Struthio camelus: one gene and its partners. The protein of the gene in region 2 interacts with the protein of the main gene of each other region in a biochemical or structural test. Links are inferred from orthologs where the notes say so. Each region holds a gene or a part of one and is shown on either strand. Other genes may lie near its edges.

Region 1 (7,181 bases), on a different chromosome or scaffold from region 2:
CACATTTAAATTCCAAACCTCGTTCAGCAAAGTCTGACTTGAAACCTTTCCTGAAGTAAAGGAAGTTCTTTTTCTTCCCTCAGGGTGTCATTCCAGCTGCCAAGAATGAAGGTGTACTCTTGCAGATGAGAATGCAGATGAGACAAGCCAAGTATGCAACCCTGTGGAAACGCACCGAAGATTTAGATGTACACATCACACCTGAATTTGTTCAGAAATCCTCCTCCTAATCAATTATTTAAGTAGGAATATTATATGCGTTTCCCTTACAGTAAAAATAACCTTTTCCTTAAGGTGCTATTTTCTTTTACAATCTGAAAATTCCATTTTAACCGTCACCATTTTATTTCCAGAGAGTGATGGGAGGTGGCACACAGTGATGGCTAGTGGTATGCAAGGCACTATAAAAAAGTGTGTGGCCCCACCTCAGAGCTGCAAATTGCCACTGCCAATGATAGTACCTCTCTCATCAGTAAACGTGAGCAGCCTTGCTTCATGTTTTCTTTTAGCCAATGTGGATATTGTGATCCTTTCTTCCCATTTCCTCTCCTGCCTCACAGTTCCCTGAGTGGGCTGAGGAAATGAGTCACATCCAAAATAAGAGGGAAAAAGACATTCTAGGGAAAATTGATCCTTGTTCTCAAGAAAGAGAAGTACTGCTGACAGTTTTTTTTTTTGTGAGACAGACAGAAATTAAATAAGAAGAATCCTGAGACCTCAACAGTTATCCCAGGCTGGGATGTATACTTAATCCGATGTACTAGCATGCTTGCAAGGATGTGCTGCACTCTATACCAGTGAAACCATCCCAGTCAGCAGTTGAGAATTAACTTATCCGTATCAGACATAGCTGTATCATCAGTCCAGGTAAATGCTTTTATTTTGGCTCTATGCACAAAGAACCAATGCGTGCACTTTACAGAGAGAGTGACAAGCAATTAGTTAGGCACTATCTTCAAGACACGTGAACAGCTATAGTCAGCTTATACATTTGGGTATCCACTTTCTACATTGTGCCCACAAGGCCAGCAGTAGTAGAAAATCAGTGAATTAAACTATTAGCTACAATGTTTCCAGGTAAGTTAAGGCGTGGTAAAATGGATTGTCTTTAACCTCTCCTAATTCTGGTATTGAGTTCTAACGCAAAGAGAAAAACAGATTGGTGTACCAGAACGAGGCTTTTGAAAGGGGGGGGAAAAAAAGTACAGAAGAGAGGATACAGGCATTTAACTCCAAACTAAAGTAACCTTAATACCTTATATAATACTTCTTGCAATTTTGAAAGCTGTGATACAATAAAACTTCAGCAAGGCCATTCTAGAATATTTTACTAGGCATTCACAAAACACAAACACCACCAAACAACAAACACGGCTATTTTAATCAACACAGCTCATTTGGGCGCTTTGGGCTTTATAGTCTTCAGCCTTGATTGAAAACAAAAACGAAACACCAAACCAACCCGGACTGATTCACAACACCCAACCCAGCCCCAGGCATTCTGAGTTTGCATTATGGTTTAACGTATCAGCACTGTAGTATTCATCGTGGGAAAACCAGCTGCTACCATTTAACTGCGGTAAGGAATATATTAGCACCTAGCTAGGCCATTTAATTAATTAATAATTAACTAATTTATTTATTTTTCAAGTTTAGCAAACTCGAGTTCCGTCCCCGAAAACTGCATCCTGAGGAGCAGTGAGCTGTGGATGGAAAGGGGGCGGCAGCGCAGGTGGGGCCGGGCCGCGGCCACAGGTGCCCCCAGCACCTATTTGTCTTTGGGCGGAAAACGGCGGGGTTTTGATTCCGTAATAAAGCACCGGCTCCAGGCGTGAGGAGGCCCAGGACAGGGACGGGACGGCGGCCACCCCCTGCCGCGGGAGGAGCGGGGCCCGGCCCCACCTGAGGGGGCGGCGAGGGGCAGGCCCGCCCCGCCGCGGGGTGAGCCGAGCCCGGCCCGGCCCGGCGAGGTGGGAGAAGTGCCTGGACGCGCCGCAACATGGCCTCCGCCGCCTCCTCCTCCCCCGCGGGACGGCGCGGCGGAGACCAGGTGAGCGCGCAGCCCTCGCTGCCCCCGCCCGCCCGCTGGAGCACGGCGGCCCAGGCCGGCCCGTCGGGCGGGGGGCGCGGGCGGTCCCCTCCTGCGCCGCGCCGCGCCTCTCCTCACCTCACTTCTCTCCTGCCCGCTCCCGCCTCCGCGCGCGCCGCCCGGGCTCGCGCCGCTGCGGCCGTTAACGGTCGCTGCCGGCGCGAGCGGCTCCCCCTCAGCGGCGGCGCGCGGAGCCCCTCCCCCCCCCCCAACGGCCGCCGCTCAGGTGTGAGGGAAGCGGCGGCGTTCAAACGTCCCTCACAGGAGCCGCTCGCCTCCCGCGGGGGTCGGCGGGGCGCAGACGCCTTTTGCCTCCGCTCTTAAGCGTCCGGGTGTGAGCGAGAGCGACTGCCTCTGTGTCGGTAAAACCTGACGCCCCTCCTTGGACCTTGCCTCTTCCCGCTCTTCTTTCTTTTCCTCACTTTTTTTCCCCCTCTCCCTTGGCAGCGGCCCGCGCCGTGCCGAAGCCGCCCGTCGGGCTGCGGCTGGCGCAGGTCGTGCCTCGCAGGGTCGCGTTACAGGTTGCTAAGCGTTCGCTTTTTCCTTGGGATCGCTTAAAACAACAGAGCAACGCTAATTTATGCTTTTAGGAGTAACGCGCTCCAGTGAGCTGTTAACAAGTTAGTGTGTAGTTAGTGAGTGTATTCAGTTTGCTTTTCTTGTTGGTTTTCCAACACGTAAGTCATAAAACAGTAGCCTGGCTGTTGGATGGAGATGCCCTTACCTGAAATGTTCTCAGCTGCCCTTGGGACGTTTTCCTCCTTGCTCAGCGCCTGATTGCAGAGCCAGCAGCAGGACCTGTCTCATGAATGACAGTGCAAGGCAAGCTGCTGCTGGCTTATGCCATGCCATCGTGATGCTATAATATGAATAAGGGTATGCATACCATATGAAAGGACTCCAGTAGCAAGAGGGTTAAAATACAGGCAGCTCCTGTGGTTGCTGCTGGTGGTAGCTGGCACTTGGAAAGGTGAAGTGCTGTGGGAGGCTCTGCTTCAACACACCCATAACTACATGGGAAATTACAGGAAGGCTCTTTCTCCCAAGTCCATCCATCCTCTTCAGTGATTAGACCCAGGCCCTAGGGTCTGATAAAAGCACTGTGCTACAAGGTTGTATGTAGCTTATGTAGTGAATGTGATCATTTTTGTGTGTTGCACTCCCAAAAACACTGCCTTATATTGCAATGAAGTGGGCTGGTCTGACATTCTTCCAGCTGGGCACAAATGGCATAATTGGTTTTAACTGCAAATACTAGTGTCCTTAGAGTAGAAAGAACACATTTCTGCATGTTACACAATGTCTGACCAGCTAAATAACTTTTTTCCCAGTTTTAAAATGTGGTTTTAAAATGATTGAAAAAGTGTGGTAAATGCAAATTTTGTTTCTTAAGGCTATAAGCCCAGAGCTTCTGAAACCAAAACTGAAAACTGTAAGATTTAAGCTATAGTTCAATCAAGGGTGCATAAAACTTACTCTGTTTTCTTCCCCACCACCCACTTTTTTTTTTTAAACTGTGTTTTAATTTTTTTGATTAAAGTATCTTTTGGAACCATAAAACCGTCCTGGTTTTAACAGCACTTTTGCTGCACTTAGGATCCCATCTGCTCTGTGAGGTTCTCTCTCTTGTTGTAGAATGTTAGTCTTTCATGTTTCTCCCTCTAAATCTTTTGGGAGTTCATGCTTTAAAATTAACCATAAAATAACAGCCCTAAGAGGAGCAGTGGGCTAGACTAAAGCATTCCTCTTGAAGTCCTCTAAGGTTAAGTTCCAGGTTGGCAGGCTGTTCCTCCCCTTGCTTGTGACTTCCGTGTTTTGAGCCCTGTACTTCATCAATGAGAGCTCCTAGAATGAGAAGACAGAACTTCCTGTGTTGTCAGTACACAAGACATTTTTGCTTCACTTCTTTTATCTGCCTTGTGGATATACAGGTTAAATGAGACTTGTCAGATTTTTCCAAAGTAGGCAACTTCCAAACTTATTATTCTGAAAGGTTCATGATCTAGGCTACATTTAAAGGATTGAAGCAGTGAGGTTTTTAAAGAAGATGATAGTTCTCTGTCTCTAAGCTGGACATGTTGCATCTTGGCCTTGGAGTAGTCTTAGAACAGTTCAGGAGTCTCAGCTTTGCCCTCAGGGTCTAGTTCTGCAGCCTTACATCCTTCCACACTGTCAAGGCCAGCAGAACTTTCCACTGGATTGAAAATAATTTTAGGTCAGGTTCTTAAATGTTAATCTCTTCCCCCCCCCCCCCCCCCCCCCCCGCAATGGGTATTAAAGGTGTATAGATCTTGAATTTTTTAATGGGCAGCATTAGAAGTGGGGATGTGTTTTGAAATAGCATTGGTATTTTTAGTGAGTTGCTAGGAGAATAGTCTCTGCTATCATAAATCTCACTCTGCCTAAATACCTTCCACGAGAACTTGCTAGTGTGCATCTCCTGATTTTTGTTGCAGAATGATACTGTGCTGTTGCATGCCGTTGTTCTATTGATACTTGCCCGATAATTTTTTTCCTTTTTTAATGGAAAAAATATCACCTTGCTTGTCTTTTCTAAATCCTAATTTATTGCTAATTATATGCTTTTATTAAGGTAGTGAGTTATATCTTAGTGCTATAATTTACAATTCACATACATGTTTACTTGTAGATAAGTATTTTTCTTTTTTCCAAACTCTATTTCCAGTTTTGCTCCAAGATAACCTCTAAACTCTACAGAGTGAGTCAGAAATACTGTAACAGCATGAGAAAGAAAATAGCTTGCAATTAAAAATATTCTTGTATTACTGTACTGCTTAGCTGTTAATAATTAGGATGACTGCTACTTATTTCACTTTAATATATTCTAAAATTTTACTCAGAAGTATATATTTTTTAAAAAGGAACAGGAAGGGTAGAATATACTTTTTTAGTTCTAATTCTTTTATTATAGTTCTGAGTGTCAACATTACAAATACTGTTAAAATTCAACATCTAACAGGAAGTTTATTATGCCTGTAGGTCACTGACAGTGCTGTTCTGTCCTGTAATGTTTATATTTGGGGAGTTTACAGTACTGAGTAAGTTTGTGGATTGTCTAAAGCTTGGAGGAGCTCTTAAATTTTGCAAGTTAAAGTTTTTTTTAAAATACTGTTTGCAATTTAATTTTAAAACCAATGCCTTTTTGGAAAAGAGAGGAGATGGTTATCTTATTCTTGTGTAGGGCAGGAAAAACCCCAGCTCTGTTCAAATATGAAAGCTGAATAATTCTCACATAAGTTCTCAATCTTAAGAGTGAAATATTTTATTATTTTAAAGCTTCCAAATCTGTGCGACCACAGTTACAACCATGTTGTTGCTGTGGGGAAAAAAAACCCTAAATTTGTTTAATCATTGGAATCTTTGAGGGCAATTTTCTTTTTGCAGCTAAAAAGAAATCTTTGCAGTCTGCAGGCCAGACTGAGTTTCAATTCCAGATAAATGCTTGGCATAGGTAGTTTTCTGTCACTGTTGTCCCTTCTGGTTCTCTTCTACGTCTTTATCAGTTTAATCCTGCTTTTCCTTCTACCTGAAAGTTTTTTGGGATTCTCTTCTACCGTTCTCTGGTTTCCGGGATAAATTTTGAGATACATGTGTGCCAGGCTCTTCAGAGAGTGTGAAAACTGTTAATTTAATCTATTGTTTGAATACTCATCAAAGGTGGTTTTTGCCAGTGTGTTGTCTAAAATGTGAGTATTGCTCCTGTACATTAGATCTCATGCTAAGCTGTTGACAATGGCACTTACAGTTATTTGGCATGGATCTGTGGATGACAAAATGAGAGCTGGCATGTTGCTTTAGTTCTGAGAAAAGCTTGGTTTTGCAATCTTTAATCGGGCAAAATTCCTTCATCTCTTTAAGGGAGCTTGACAAGGACTTGGCCCAAGGAAGACTTTGAAACAGCTCATGGCGTTTAGCTAATTCTTTGCTCCTATGGAAAAGGCTTAGAACCTTGGGCATGAGGGTAGTAGCAAATATTTCTGTTTTATGCTTGAATTCTAAGATGTGTAACATATGATGCTGAAATGTCTGAGAAGAAAAATGAGAATGTTGAGGTTTGACTTTTCCAAAATAAATATTTCAAGGTAGTTTTAAACCTTCTCTTTTTTTCCTTAATGTGATGAAACTAGTTTAGATTAATTTTTCAGGGAAGAAAGAATGGAAGGCAAATATAGGGAATGAAACAAAAGTCACATTGCTCTCTTTCTTGGGCAGATAATTCCTATTTTCAGTGGTGTTGGAGGGTGGGGAAATAATGAAGAAAAGACTCCTTACCCTTTTCTCACCTCTTCAGTGGAGAAATGAGATCAGAAATGCTTGAACTTCACTAGTCCTTTGATAACTTGTATGTACTCCCTGGTGTTGGTGCTAATAGCTTTTACTCTGAACAGTTAAATTACATAAACATCCACATAAAGTACATGGAAAATGATAGTTGCTTGCACTGTATGTTTTTGTTATCATTGGAAGGAAGTATGACTGTATGTAAAGAAGTATTATATGTGAGGAGAAAAGTGGGTAAAGAAGATGGGGGCAACAAAGAAAACTGCTTTATTAAAACATTAATAACTATTGTGGTGAAGTTCTTAAGAGGCTTTCACTGTTTATGTCAGTCTTTGCCACCTTGTTTTTCACATAGTTATTGCATACTGTTAAAATCTTGCCAAGTCTTATTAGCATCTTGAACAAATCCATCCAGTTTCCTTTCGGGGAAGGTGGCGCCCTACAAAAATGAATTTAGCATTAGCTAATTAGTAACATTGTAATTTGTTTTATTTAATCCACTTACAACTTCAGTTCCTGCTGATCTGTGGCAGAGAAAAAGGTACCATCTTTTCTTTAGTCTCTCTTTATAATGAAGTAGTTCCTAACAAATTCAGGAAGCTATTCTCTAGGGACATACTTAGGGTGGTGCTCTGAAAAGGAGATATTACTCAAAGTTTCCATGTACTGTCTGATACTTGCCTCATGATTTTATCAGTATGTGATACTGATTCTATCTGGTTGTAACTTAAAAATGTTATAGGCTAAAGAAAGAACTTCTGTGTAGCTGTAGTCCGGAGGGTTCATTAGC
Region 2 (7,683 bases):
AAAGAAAAAACATGAGCATGAAAAAGTGTAACATCTTAAAGGAAAAAAATAGCAACTCAGACAGTTTTGGTGCTGTTGGTGGATTCAGTGGATGATGGCACTGAAGATTCATTTCAGAGAGCAACAGCTACCAACCCTTCTCCTCCCAACAGGAAGAGATCAACAAAAATTCTTAAAGCTGTTAAAGTCACTAAATAATCATTGAGCATGGCTATACCAGGTGTTTAGACCAAGTCTAAGACCATGTTTGCACCCTGAATCTCTGCCAGTTCGCACAATATCCTATATCCGGGACACTACATCAAGTCCCCTCCGTATCATTGGAGACAAGGCAGGGAGGATTCGGAAATGAACCAGGGAGCACAGGCCAGTGTGCCAGGGAATATGAAGCGCTCAGGTCTTCATGCTCCATAAACAGGTTGAGAATCATGACAGCTCTGCTCCATCAATGGTCTGATGGTTTAACTTTCCTAAAGTCAAAACAGATACGAGGTGAAACAGGAGTGTTCTGGCAGGCATTTGTCTAGACTTATGTCCTGCTATTTCCCTTTTCACTTCAGAACAGAAAGCAGCTATGTATGCAACTTCTCCTATTGCAGAATTAAACAGGTTAGCACTGAACAGCTGGTGCTTGCAGGCCAAACACAGGGGCAGCCCCTTTAAGCACATTATCTTTCCCCTAGAGGAGAAAGGAGTGAGTGGTTTAGGCAACCTCCTCCAGAGTCCTCACAACCTGAACCAGAAAGCCAGTCTGTCATAGCGAGAGGCCCTGCTCCCCATGACAACAGCTTGACTTGGAAAGAGAAGCAGCTATCAGCCAAGCTGTTAATTTGACTTCACACTCAAATAAGGCCTGCACTGATCTCAGCTAGAAGTAGCAACCTCAGGGCCTGCCAGGCTCCCAGAAGAGACATACGCTTGCCAGTTTCCTTATTTTGACACCCTGATGACGTGTCAGAAACTTGAGGATAGTGTCCAGGATAGGTCCAAAATATAATGCAGACTTTTTCCCTATACATTGAAAGGCTCTTAGGCTAGGCCTCAATTGTACATTAATTACAGGACAATAAATACTAGTCAAATGTCTTAATGAAGATCTAGTCATTGCCCTGTTCTGAATCCTATATGAGATCATCTTCAGATACCAAACAGGAGGGTTTCAAATGCCCTGTGTCTTATCTAGCCACTGCCAGGCAGTGAACAGTAAGTGAAATATGCACAATTATACTGAAAATTGTCTTGGCTTTCTCACTGAATAGGACTAACTACTTCTGTTTCACTTCATAGAGAAGCTTGACTATGCTTTGGAGTATATGTACCCTGAGGACACCCAAGGCCAGAAATTGTATTTGTTACTGCAAGAGCCGTACACAGTCTCTCTCCAGCACCATTACTGTACTGTGTTCTAAAACTCACAAACACATCAAGAGCTAGTATACCATACTGCAATTTTAAAAGCACAGGAAATGAGATCTGACAGATCAGTTCAAGATACAGAAGAATAAACAGAAGTCGCAACAAAGACATAGATGTTAGCCTATGCTAGACCTCAGACTAGGGCTAGTTTCCAAGCTGGGTATTTTAAACTCTAACTCAGATCTGCATAACAAAGCTTCAGTCACGATTTAATTGTACTGTAGCTGTTGTCTGAGTCAACTTATTCAGCCAGCAGTAATTCACTGAGCAAAAAAATGAAGGGAGGGCATAACATTTACACATGCCCAATGACTAACTTTGAAGATACCTCAGTCACAACTGCATCCAGATTAACATTAGCGTGCAGTGAAAAAAGAAAAGGCAGTTAAATATACCAACATCACTTTTCTGTAACACTTTTGTCCAGACCCTTTCGGCAACCTCATTAAGGGCAGTGGGTGGTGAGAAACAGATGATCTGTATAAAAATGACTCAGACATATTTGAAATAGCTTGTGGTCTGAAGAATTAAATGATCACATGGTATTGTTTTCTACTGTCATTTATTGTTAAGCTGAAAGAATTCACCATTCCCTACTTTTATTAGGCTATATTAACAAAAAGGTAAAGGTATATAAACTATTTTGTGCAGATATGTACACAGTAACATCTGACTTCAGTTAGGCTGCCCAGGGGGGTGGGGGGGGGAGGTAGGGGAGTGACACTGCACGAGCATCAGCTGCAAGTCACCAAGCCCTCAGTCAAGCAAAGCTACAGTTTAATATTTGAACTCAAATACAGGGCAGTTATTACAATATAATTATGAGCTACAGATACCAGGTACTCACTAGAGATCCATCTACAGATGATAAGCTCTCATATGTCTTCCAAGCTTTCTCTTTCACATTGTTTGATACTTTCAGAACATCACAGAGTACAACAAAGTCACTTTCTCCAATTTCAAGCCTAAGAAAAAGGGGAAAATATTACTCGTAGCATCCCAGTGCAACACACCAATTTACCGGACTACACACCTCAACAGGGGTTACAGAACATTAAAGTGCAACTCTGATGCAGCCTGACTTGACGCATCACTCTCTGGCAAGGCCATTCTGCTCTGCAAGCCACACAGGAGCTAAGGAAGAAAAATAACCCCCGGGCACGTATACAGAGAGCTCAAGACAGCACAACAACAGGCAGCCGGAGCCACGCAGATGTACAGGGAGGCACCTGAGCCACGCTAACGGCTTGCTAAAGTTTCTCTCTCCCCCCCTCCCGCCCCCACGAACGCCCCGCTGAGGAGGACGCGCTACTCGGAGCGCCAGCCCCCGCCGCTACCGCCCGACCCTCCCCGCAGCAGGTGCCCGGCGGCGCTTACCGGGGGGCGGCAGCGGCGGCGGCAGGCGGCGGCGGGGCGCTGCTGGAGCCGCTCTCCGGGCTGGCCCGCTGGCTCCTGGCGGCGGCGCCCCCCCGGCGGGGGGGCTTGGGCGGCATGGCGGCGGCGCCGCGCGCGCGAGGGCGGCCGTTGGGCCCCGCCGTTTAAACGCCCGCCGAGGGCTGCAGTAACGACCGATCGGTCGACCGACCGACGGCCGGTTCGGCGCCCCTCCCCCCTCCGCGCACAGCCGCCACTCAAACCGCGGCAACCCTCGCGTCACCGCCAGCCGCTCCGTCGTCACTTCCGGGCCGGCGGCGGCCGCCGCTCTATCCCCCCCCCTTCCTCCTCCTCCTTTCACTGCCGGGCGGCGGCGGGGACGCGCGCCTTCGAAACGCAGACCGGCACGACGACGGCGGCGGCGGTCTGCGCTCGGAAACCCGGAAGCAGAAGCCGCCCGCGCAGGGGGCTCAGCCAATGAGCGCGCTTCCTGCCTCACGCTAGCCAATAGGAGCTGCCTTTGCTTCGTGCGTCCCGGCAACTAGAGCGAGGGCTCGCCAAGGCGGGCCCCGCCCCCGCCCCGCCCCGCCGTGCCGGGTGGGGGCGGGGCGCGGCCCGCTGAGGCGGTGCCGGCCGCCCCGCAGGTACCGCAGGGGCGGGCGCGGTGGCAGCCGGCGCTCAGCCCCTGCTCGGCAGCGGGACACCGCTACAAATCCCGCCTGAAGCTTTTTTTTTTCAGCAGTTGCAGCATAACCCCTCCCTCTTTTGTCCCGTTTCTTGCTGTCTTAGGGCCGCTGCCGTCGAGGAAAACTTCCCACCTCACAAATGGCAAATCACAGGATCACAGAACGGTTGAGGTTGGAAGGGACCTCTGGAGATCATCCAGTCCAACCCCCCTCCTCAAACAGGGTCCTCTAGACCACGTTGCACAGGACCCTGTCCAGAAGGCTTTTGAATATCTCCAGTGAAGGAGACTCCACTACCTCTCTGGGCAACCTCTTCCAGTGCTCTGTCACCCTCGCAGGCAAGAAGTTCTTCCTCACGTTCAGATGGAACTGCCTGTGGTTCATTTGGTGCCCGTTGCCTCTTGTCCTGTCACTGCACACCACAGAGAAGAGTCCAGCCTCATCCTCTTGACACCCCCCCCCTTTCAGATACTTGTACACATTGATGACATCCCCTCTCAGTCTTCTCTTCTCCAGACTGAACAGGCCCAGCTCTCACAGCCTTTCCTCAGAGGAGACATGCTCCAGTCCCCTCCTCAGCTTTGGAGCCCTCCGCTGGACTCTCTCCAGTAGTGCCATGTCTCTCTCCTACTGGGGAGCCCACCACTGAAAACAGGACTCCAGGTGAGGCCTCCCCAGGGATGAGGAGAGGGGCAGGATCACCTCCCTCCACCTGCTGGCAACACTCTGCCTAATGCACCCCAGGAGACCCTTGGCCTTCTGGGCCACAGGGCCACATTGCTGCCTCATGCTGAACTTGTTGTCCACCAGCACTCCCAGGTCCTTCTCCGCAGAGCTGCTTTCCAGCAGGTCAGCCCCCAGCCCTGTCCTGGTGCATGGGGTTCTTCCTCCCCAGGTGCAGGACCCTGCACTTGCCTTTGTTGAACTTCAGGAGGTCCCTCTCCGCCCACCTCTCCAGCCTGTCCAGGTCCCTCTCAATGGCAGCACAGCCCTCTGGTGTGTCAGCCACTCCCCCCAGTTTAGTGTCATCAGCAAACTTGCTGACGGTGCACTCTGTCCCTTCCTCCAGGTCATCGATGGATACATTGAACAAGACTGGACCCAGGACTGACCCCCGGGGGACACCGCTAGCTACAGGCCTCCAACTAGACTCTGTGCCACTGAGCACAACTCTTCACGACCACGTCCTTCATGACAATCTCTGAATTGGATATTCATCCGAGTCCCACCTAAAATACTACTTTTAACAGTGTGCGTTGCAGTTATGTTTGGTTTAAAAAAAAAAAAAAAAGTCCTCAGTCTTTGATCCACGGATTTAAGAATTAACCCTGTTGTCCGCAGTCGCCCACCCGCTGGGAGATGGCCCATTTCTGCTGCCAGTTAGCACATTTTCTGTCAGGCTTCTGCGGTGGCAACTTGTTCCAAAAAGTAAAACATATTTGAGGACATGGATATGGAAGGACTCTTACATGTCTGCATTGATCATTCATCTGTAAAGCAAGCAGTTTTAAATCCAAAAGTTTAATAGCAATCTGACTAACAAAATGTGAGCACTACCAGTAAACGATTAAAAAAAAGCAGTATTTTAAGGGTCACAGGTTTTATTGATTTGCATGGCTTTTTCTTTATTAACTTTTCACTTAAAAATAGCAGAACAGGCCATTTTTCTGATTCATATTAGAATTAAACAAGTTACAGTAAAGTGAATACAGAACCAATGGGATTTCTGAGGCAAGTCAAGGTTCATAAACTTCAAATGAAATGTTTCATTCGTAAACTGCAGTAGGACATTCCTTACCATAATTCCAGCAAAACTGTAACTTTACCCTTCTAAGCATATTTAAGGAATTTCTTGTAATCAGATGACACCAGATGCTGTCAAAGGTTCAGAGGCTAGGACTACAGATGTCACCTACAGCTGAAGATTTGTAGGCAACTAGGCAGATAAGGTTAGCTAAACCTCCACGTGTGGTTAGCTAAACCTCCATGTGTGGTTAGCTAAACCACACGAGTCTCTTGCCCTTCCGTCACGACGGGCTTTATGAGCTCAAAAGAGCAAAGCAACCCGAAACGCGGTCACAGCCAGCGCAGACCCTCCCAGCTGTCCACAAGAGGAAAACCTGCCCTCCTGGGCAGCTTCCCTCCTAGCTGCTTCCACACACTTTCATAGCCAAGCCCAAGATCATCCGAGCAACGGGCAAGGAATGTGTGTTGCTCTCGTAACCCCTTGTGCGTTACCACTTGGTGAACATCGGGCCCTGTTAAAGGGCTGCCAACCAATGCCAGGGCAAATACTAACTTTCTAGAATTGTCCGTGTGTCAAACACCCTCTTGAATCAAGTTTTATGCGCCTTCTCCTCAAGCGACGAGAGCTCAGGACTCTCCATAAGCAGGAGCAACCAAAAATATCTCGTAGATGCTTAAATTTGCAGCTTATGAGAACAGGAGGAGCAGCAGCAGCAGCAGCGGGGAGGCAGCAGATGAATCAAGCTACAGTAACCTTCACTCCATCCCAGAGCCTCAGCTGTATTAACTTTACATCTAAACTGCAATAAGATCGCATGTGTACATGTATGTACCTCCTAAAAAAAGCACATGCATATGTAAGATTAGATGTAAATTGCTGCTTTTTTTTCCTTGTTAGATACATTGATTTGATAGTTTTAACCTTGGGTTTTAAGTCATTTAACCTTGTATTTTAAGTCATTTTCTTTTAAATGGAGCCTTTGGACTCTTGAATAAAATGACAAAGGAAGGAAAAAAGCAGCTCTTCTCGAAAAAAAAAAAAGTTAAAAGACTGCAAGGTCACAGCATTAATCATAATTTCTCATCTGGCCTGACAATATCTTTGTTCTAAATATCTTGCTACAACAGCTTTTAAAGAGCAGGTCATAGCCAGATGGAAGTCTGAAACATAGCCCAGTCAGGCAGCCCTGACTCATTGTTTCCAGCTGCTAAACAATCTTAAGTAATGTTATCATCTTAATTCTTTTTTTCAACTTAAAAACTGTTGCTATAGTTTCACAGTAATTGCCAGTGGGAATGGAAACCATGCGTTCATTATAAGCAAAACCAACCCTTTTTATTCTGACCCTTAATGCTCAGGCATGTTAGTAACTTGCAACTTCTTTAGTTTTCAGAAATCAAGTTTTCCCTCTACCAGAAATATTTCATTTTTATTTCATCCAACTTCATGGTCTATCAGGACTAGCTGCTTGTTTCTGCATTAGTACAGATCGACATCCACCACCTAAGCTAGAGTTCTGATAAAGTCATTTCTTCTTGGAGATACATGAAATTAATGTATTTCTACTAAAATCACTAGACTGCGATCTTCTGGATATTAGTGCTAGTATTGATTAATGACAGAATTTTTGCTTGAATAATGGCTATACAGTTAGGCTGTAAAATTCACAGATTATGAAAATATTGTTCAAGAATTATCCTAGACAAAAGCAATGGCAAATTAGAGGAAGAAAATGATTGAGATTGCATTACCTGGGGATAAATAGTGTCTTTTTTTTCCCCTAGGAAACCAAAGGGAGTTTTGCGCAGATCACAAATGGGAGAAGGAGTTTCTTGGTGCCGCGTGCGTTGTCTGCTACCAGTTGCTGCTGTGCAGCTTGCCGTTCTCCACAGGAATGGTACCCTAGCCATTTTAAATGACCTTTGGTATTTGAGAAGGCTTCAGCTTGGATTGTATCTCTGTTTGTTATTTCTAGGGCTAGTGACAGCACAGGGTCCAGAGCACCCACTTACATGTAGCCAGGGCACTCTTCAGCCTGCCTTGGTTTCCTCCATCTTCCACGTTCAGCAGCCACCCCGGGGAGTACAACCCTGTGGCCATTTACCCACCTGAATCACACTGCATTTCCCTTCCTGTCACAGGCAGGCTTTACCAGGGTGAGCAACAAGGGGGGCTGTGACCAACTCCATCAGCCATTTTGGTGGAGGCCCTACATCTCTAGCTCTAGCTCTAGCTGGGCCTTTAGCACTCACTAGCACATCCCTTTCCAGGTGACGCTGCCTCACAACTGCGCTGACCTCAGCTCTGCCTTGCAAGCCTGAACCTGACTTGCAGGTGTGGTGGGGTGAAACGAGCTCAGCTCGCAGGCTGTTGTAGCCCCCTTTTTGATGAACAGGTGGTTTTTACATGCCCTCGCAGTAATAACGATGTTGTGTGGGCTAAACTGGCTGCTTAGGAGAC
Region 3 (7,135 bases), on a different chromosome or scaffold from region 2:
GCTGGAGAGATACTGAAGAAAAAACTGTGTATAATGCCCACTTGCTTAATATTTGAACATTACGCATTTACAAATTCATCTGCCTCATCTTCAGAATAGAATCTGTAACTTACCTTTAAATTCCATAGACTTTCGAGAACCTTAAAGCACCAATTCACCTGTACTTCTTTAAAGAACAAAAGATATCCAAAAAGAGGTACCTGTCTTATTGCTGGGCTCTCAAATGCACGCTTTATCAGCAGTACTTTTTCTGCCCTACAGCACTAACGTCAGAGTAGCAGCAGTGCTGTCAGAGGACAACGCTGATTCTAACCGAGTACTAAGAATTACCTCATCCTAGTTTAGGTAATGCAATGAGGTCATGCTCTCTCAAGTGGAATACACATTTCCCTGTAGAGGATGATCTCATGCTAGCAGGGATGGTGAGCGGCAGGGGAGAAACCTTTCAGGAAAATATGTTAAGAATTTAATTAAAGTTGTTATTCTGCTCCTTGATATTCTTTTCTCTAAAACCTTAGGTGAGAAGAGCTTTCAACTATATGGAAACTTAAAGATCAAGTAGCTGATGAACAACAGCATTTTTAATCTAGCAGAACATTTTCTGTAAGTTTTAGGAAGCTTATTTTGATAGCTCTTTCTACATTATTTTATTTGAAAAACTTGATAATATTTAAAAATCCTGTGAGGCAGGGATAGAAGGTGTAAATAAAGATAATCTTACAATCATATTTGGAAGTATTAAGCAGTAAAGAATAAGCTTCTTGAAAGGGGTCCAAAATCTAGAGCTGTCAGCAAGCTCTGAGAAATGACTGAAGTAATAGCTTATATGTATAGCAATAAAACCAAAAATATATTTTGCCCTAGATAAATGCAATTGTTCTAATTCTTTTCTTTTGACAGACTAATGATAAATAAAAAAAATGTGTTTACCCTAGTCCAGCCTCTTATTCCACCTGAACCTAACAAAATTAAATTCACATAATCTTTATCACTATTGTCATAAGAACCATCAAATTTTTATTCAAAATAATACTTGCCTGAATATTGAGCCATACGAGACAAGTTAACAATACAGAGATAAAAATAATACCAAAGCTTCTCAGACAGGAAAGGAAGCAAATAACCCATCTCTAGTTACCAACCATACCCTGAAATATGCAAACCACAGCAGACAAGAGAACACATGTTCAGTATAAGCCAGCTGCTACAAAGCAACGATCATAGCAGTACAAAAACATGTCTCAAACGGAATCCAAGATCATAAAACGTATCTATAAAGACTGCCAAAGGGCACAGTTTTCCACCTCACATGCTTGCAAAAGAAAACGTCAAACATTCAAGGCAGCTTTTTTTAATGTATATGGATAAGGAACATTGCAATACCAATGCAGACATGCAAAATTAATAGTTTACATTATATAATGTATATTGATAATTAGATAATAGCAGAAGGAAAATATATAAATTGTCTATAAGAAAAAACAAAAAAAATTTTGAAAAATATCATATTTTCTGTGTGATATTACACCATTATCAAATGCTGCTTCCCTTGATGGAAGCATGCCAATATTGTGACAGCACTTCACGCTGCTTCTAGCCTGGATGTGGTTGCTGAAAAGCACTGACACCGGGCCAGCAGTCTGATCTTCCAAAGACAAACAGATTTAGTTAATCAGCATTGATGTGTCAACTCAGCACATTGAAAATTTATTCCCAGAATACACAGGGCCTTTGCTTATTCATCCATCTATACCTATTAGCTACATTATCACCACAACCAATAACGTTAAGGAGCCTGATCGGCTGCTAGGGGCAAAGAGTATATTTTTAAGCCTGCCTACTAACCACAAGCAGAAACTCAGAAGAACTACAACTATTAGCTGGAGAATCAAAGAGTAGATTACCTATACTATCCTTCAATCTAGCAGCGAACGGACCGACAATACCTTGGACAGGGACATCTACATGCTATAAAAACTTAGGGTAACAGTTTCTGTCAAGTGAGTGACTCAAGTATGTTGATATTTTTCCCTGTATTTGCAGGATCAGAACGTTAAGAGGCAAGTAAACACTCTTACCACCGCATTCGTGAATCTGATCTCAGGATGAATCTTAGCTAACACACATCCAGCATTTTGTTAAGAACTGGGTCACTGAACTGCCGTTTTTCGGACAAGACTTGACCTGCTGTCTCCAAAGAGTTGTTTTGGTAAATCCAAGTGCAGTTTTTGGCCCTAGGTTTCAAGTCAGTTAATAGTCTATCAGAGGGACACTGGAAAGTAGTTTTTTAAGTTTAGTAATCTTTTCCACACACACACACACACACAAATGCTCCCATCAAAATAAGAAACGATTAGTTTTAAGCTTCTGGTAAATCAATAATCCACCCCAATCCAGGTGTTCCTGTCCCCCACCCCCCACGGCCACGGCCACAGCCCATCGCCGAGGCGCCGGGGCTGCTCTCGCAACGCTCTCCCCAGCCAGCGGAAAGGGCAGGGCCGGCAGCCACCTCGGGTGTGCTCGAGGTAACTGCCCCGCGGCCACCGCTCCGCTCTAACGAAACATAACAAAAGCCGCCGGCAGGACAAAGGCATCGCTTTGTCCTGCTCCTGCCCCGGCGGCCTGCGGCCGAGGGCGCCGCCGCTTTGTCCGGCCCTGCCGCCGCGCCCGGGCCCGCCCGCCCGGCAAACCCCGCGCCTACCTCCGCCGCCCTTACCCACCGGCTCGTCCCCCTTGCGCGGCGCTGCTCTCCCGACCTGGCCTCCTCTCCCGGGGCTGGGCGGCGAGGGAAGGAGCCACCGCCTTGTGCGAGGGCCTCACTGGCTCCGCCCCGCGCGGGGAGGGGACGGCGGCGGGGGAGGGCCGGGCCAACGGCGGCGCGCTCAAACGCCAACGGCAGCCGGCCGCGCGCGGGCCCGCGGCGGTGAGTCGGGGTCCGCGGCGGGGGGGGGTCTTCCCCCCCCCCCGGCCTCATCGCCCCTCGGGGCGCAGGGGGAGCCGCGCTGCGGGAAGGCGCCGCCAGGAGGGCGGGGGCGGTGAACCCGGCCGTTGGGGCCGTTGGGAGCGCGGCCGAGGGGCCGCCCGCCCTGCCGGCTCTCGCCGGGGCGGGGCGGGGGGGGCGGGGGGGGAGGAGGCCGCTGTGCGTGCGCGGCCGCGCTGTGAGGAGGAGGAGGAGGAGGAGGAGGAGGCGGCGGCGGCGCGCGCTGCTGCTGCTCTTCGGGCGCCGCCCCGCCCGAATTGTCACTCATAATTTCTTCATGTTTGGACCTGGTGATGTTCTTGTTACCACCACCAGTTACGTCGTGCTGGTAAACTGCAGGTCCTTATATTCTTAGCATAAAGATCTCAAAACCTAGTCGGAGTTCCCTGGTGTTTTATAACATTCAGACCATGATAATGTGTGAAGTGTTTAAATATGGTCGTTGCTGTAGCTTACAGAGAACCTAATGAAGTCTGTGCTGGCACATGGGTGACAAATTAGCAGTCATGCATTTTGATTGTGATTGTGCCTGAATTACACCTGCACCGCAAGTGCGGAAGTGCCCAAGCAGGCTTTAAGTTGCGTTGCGTACCAGGCCTCTTACAGCTGCCTGAGCATAAAACTTGGTTGTTTCCTCTGTACGCTGCAGTGGAAATACCGCTTGTTTGTGTTTGAATTTGCGTAACCTGGATATGTGTTTTGTTTCAGTTCTTCTGTGTGCTGAAAAATTAATGTGTTTCTGGCAGTCCAAACAAGTGGTTGATTATGATCGTAAATAAATTGCAGGGGATGAATAGCATATGAGAGGGCATCTTTCTGGTTTCAGTGATCAGAAGAAATACAGATATACTGAACTGTATCAGAGCAGGCCCTTCCACTTATGATGGATTTTATCTCCCATGGCTACGTGATGCAAACTTGGAAATTGTACAGCTTAGCAATGAATGTAGTCTGAATCCCTTCTTACTAGAATCTGAATGCCCTGCCATGCGCTCTTATGCAATAGCTGTTTGAATGTAAGAGGTAGTTCCTGCTTCATTATGAACTTTAGGGTCAGTTGTTTACTTTCTTATTCGTATATTGACCTTTAGTAGCAAAAAGCAGGGTAAATTCAAGATCAAAAACTAAATTTTCCAACCTGTCGAAATAGGCACTTGCTTGCTTTTTGATAGTCTTTCATCAAAGGGGGAAATGAAATGCAGAGTTTGTGATCTCCCGGGAGATATGTTTTCTGAATGTCTTCATATGCTATCAAAAACAGTGAAGTACAAACATGCTGATGACAAAATTTCTTTCTGGGGAGTGAAATGAATATAATTATTCCCATTCCTTCTGGTGGGAAGGAACTGAATGAAAACGGAGTCAGAATTTCCATGTAAACTCAGGTGGCTTACTAGTCTGTAGGTCTAAACTGTACATGCTCTAAGTAGATGTGTTACGTTGGGTATATTTGGTATAGGAGCTGAAGTTATTTTCGAAAGACCTGAGACATTGGACTGCTGAGAATCCATGAACGTTTGGACTGAAAAAAAAAGTGACAGATCTCAATTTAAAGTAAGAGGCATCATCCTTTGCTCAGACTCGAGTATCCCTGTAGAAATTGTTTCTGCAAAAAATATTCCTAAATAGGAAGTTTAAAATGAGTGTAGGATTACGGGAATTCTCCTTTGCCTCCCTCCTCTTTAACTGTGACCTTGTGGGAGGGTGCTGAGGTAGCGAATCTCTATTGTCCTTCTGCACTGAATTAATTTACAGCAACGCAAACAGTATCAAAACGAAACCAAAGGTTCTGCTGCTTCTGAGAAATGCTGATTGCCATCTATGATTTCTCTTTGCATTGCCAAGGAAGAAATTGATTGCATGAAGAGGAAGGGAGTGGAGGAAGTTCATAGGTCAACAGGCTGTCAAGGTCTGCAGACATGGTATATTTGGCCCCTGTAAGAGGAAAAAGCATTCTGTTGTTTAGGCTTGACCTGGGCACTACACCTTTAAACCTTTAAGGCAGGTTTAAGTGTACCATGGGCATAAATGCTGGAGTCCAGAACACTTCGCTGTGGAAAACTTGGAGGGGGACTCAGAGGATGTAGAATTTGGGCTTTGGTGCCCACAGGGATATTTAAATATTTAAATTCACCTTGCGTATCCAGTCTGTTAAAGGTATGAAGGCTTTTGAGTATAGTTAGTTTTGTTTTCTCTTTTATTGCAAGTGGCATGTTGTTAGGTGTACCAAGCGTTGGTTAAGTGATAATCCTAAATGGAATAAAAAGATGCATCTGAGTCTTTTCCACTCCTTTTCCCTCTTCTTCTGTTTCAGTTTTTTAGGAATGTTCTTAATCATTTGTAGGCATTTTGAATGGCAATAATTTTTTTTCAGGAAAAAAAGGTAGTAAAACTTGCAAATAATTATACCTCTGTTATGTTTAGGTACTTTTGTGTTTTACGTTGCTTTACAGCATGTGGATCCCTTTATGTTAAAGGTTGCATGACAGCAAGCATTACTGTGTCACATACCATTTCTTGAGAACAGACAGGGTTGCTATTTTAGGTTTGCAAGGAAGCACAGAAAACATGAGATTTTTAAAGCAGGTGAAACTATTACTGATCAATAGCTAAGTTCAGCATCAGAGAATGGAGCACTCATTTAGGATTTCAGTTCTTTTACTTTGAGACACAGAGCTCAGAGCTAGGTCACTGAAATCTTAATTTTTGCTTAGGAACTCAAGTGATTTATTACCCATATAAATCAATTACCCTGTTTTTTTTCTCCAGCCATAAAGTATTTGCCATAAAGCAGAAACCATAGCATTTTTGCACTCGTTACTAATCATGTGAGGCTAATTAAGACAGTTTTGTGTACTCTTGTACAGAGTGTAATACTGTTCTGTAAATCAAAATTAAACTTCTTGTGCATTCCCTTACTTCATCTTTTCTGTGTGTTGATCTTTGATTGAATTAATATGAAAATAAATGATCTTTACCAGAACTGCGTGGAAAGATTAAATGTTAAGGAAGGACTATCATAGTTAAATTGGGTGTTGGTTTTGAATATTGGCCATACTAGGTGAATAAATAATGAATGCTCAACAAATAAAGAATCAAAAGCAGAGGTGGGCATAGGGTATATTACAATTGAATCACAAACAGAAATTGATACTGATTTGGCTATTTGCAGTTGCTTTAGGAGAAATGAAGAGAAAATGGGAAGAAAGACTGAAGAAAGTTGAAGAACTAGCATCTCACTATGAAAGAAACCCTCTTCTTCCAGTTTACAGACCAAAGCTGTCCAAACCTTTTCAACCATCCCCTGTTTGGAAAATATTTTGTCGGCAGGCTGAAGCTTTTCACTATGTAAAAACCTGTGAAGAGGTACATCGTTTGTTAAATGTCTTTGCTCTTTGAGTACTTTCAATATTTGATTTCATTTAAAAGCCTGGTTAATAGTAAAGTCTTTAGCAGATTGCAGGATACTTTTGTTTTGAAAACCTGAAACGTCAATTAATTTTTTTGATCTTTGTAGAAGATCATGATGCACTGAAGTGAACTCTAATAAGTACTAGATAATAAGAATTGTACTCTAATAAGAATTGATATGTGATGTTAGCTTGAAACAGCAGAGGTGCTTTCTGGCAACATTGTAGTGATAGATTTATTCCTCAAGATAAGCAAGCTGGCAGGGTTAGCAGGAGAATAGTAAAGAGAGTCAGGTAGGAAGAAAGAGGAGAAAATATTGGGGGGGGAGGGGGGAGGAAAAAAGAGGTAGAAACTCAGCAAAATATATATATTTTTGTGTATTGGGTAAGCATTTGGAAGCAAAGCCTCAACAGCAAGAGGCACTATTTTTTGCTATCTATTCACTTAAAAGGATGTACACATAAATGTCCTGCTGCCACAGATTTCCTGTGCTGGCTGTGGACAAGACAGTTTTAGGCTGCCTCTAGTTCCCCACATGTGAAAAAGGCACAGTTTTTTGTTGTCCCGTGCTGCAGGAGATACGGGGTCTGTTACATTAAGAGTGTAAAATAGTCAGATACTGTGACTTTGGGGGCTTTTAAAATAACTTATTGGAAGGCTATTGCTCTCAGTCTCTTTCAGACTGTTCTGACAGTTGGTTTTCCTAAACATATTCTCACCAGCTCAGCAGTGGTTTTTTTTTGG

What was found.
Region 1: of the proteins of RB1 (region 2) and CDK1, one has a biochemical effect on the other in vitro, tested with the Homo sapiens proteins (8 studies listed by BioGRID). The link is inferred for Struthio camelus from reciprocal best matches to the Homo sapiens genes RB1 and CDK1.
Region 3: of the proteins of RB1 (region 2) and CASP3, one has a biochemical effect on the other in vitro, tested with the Homo sapiens proteins (2 studies listed by BioGRID). The link is inferred for Struthio camelus from reciprocal best matches to the Homo sapiens genes RB1 and CASP3.

The regions. Positions count from the first base shown.
Region 1 is NC_090948.1:36,164,407-36,171,587, reverse strand, and holds the start of CDK1 (cyclin-dependent kinase 1), read right to left. Parts: upstream 3,107-7,181; 5' UTR 2,814-3,106; intron 2,276-2,813; exon of another isoform or gene 2,168-2,275; intron 2,051-2,167; coding exon of another isoform or gene 2,000-2,050; exon of another isoform or gene 1,921-1,999; intron 162-1,920; 5' UTR 19-161; intron 1-18. UniProt on the Homo sapiens protein: Plays a key role in the control of the eukaryotic cell cycle by modulating the centrosome cycle as well as mitotic onset; promotes G2-M transition via association with multiple interphase cyclins.
Region 2 is NC_090942.1:192,180,331-192,188,013, reverse strand, and holds the start of RB1 (retinoblastoma-associated protein), read right to left. Parts: upstream 3,025-7,683; 5' UTR 2,910-3,024; coding exon 2,794-2,909; intron 2,382-2,793; coding exon 2,264-2,381; intron 1-2,263. UniProt on the Homo sapiens protein: Tumor suppressor that is a key regulator of the G1/S transition of the cell cycle. The hypophosphorylated form binds transcription regulators of the E2F family, preventing transcription of E2F-responsive genes.
Region 3 is NC_090945.1:51,139,246-51,146,380, forward strand, and holds the start of CASP3 (caspase-3), read right to left. Parts: upstream 3,107-7,135; 5' UTR 2,721-3,106; exon of another isoform or gene 2,702-2,720; intron 2,235-2,701; exon of another isoform or gene 2,079-2,234; intron 138-2,078; exon of another isoform or gene 114-137; intron 1-113. Other genes in the region: PRIMPOL (DNA-directed primase/polymerase protein), read left to right, coding at 4,802-4,889, 6,153-6,346. UniProt on the Homo sapiens protein: Thiol protease that acts as a major effector caspase involved in the execution phase of apoptosis. Following cleavage and activation by initiator caspases (CASP8, CASP9 and/or CASP10), mediates execution of apoptosis by catalyzing cleavage of many proteins.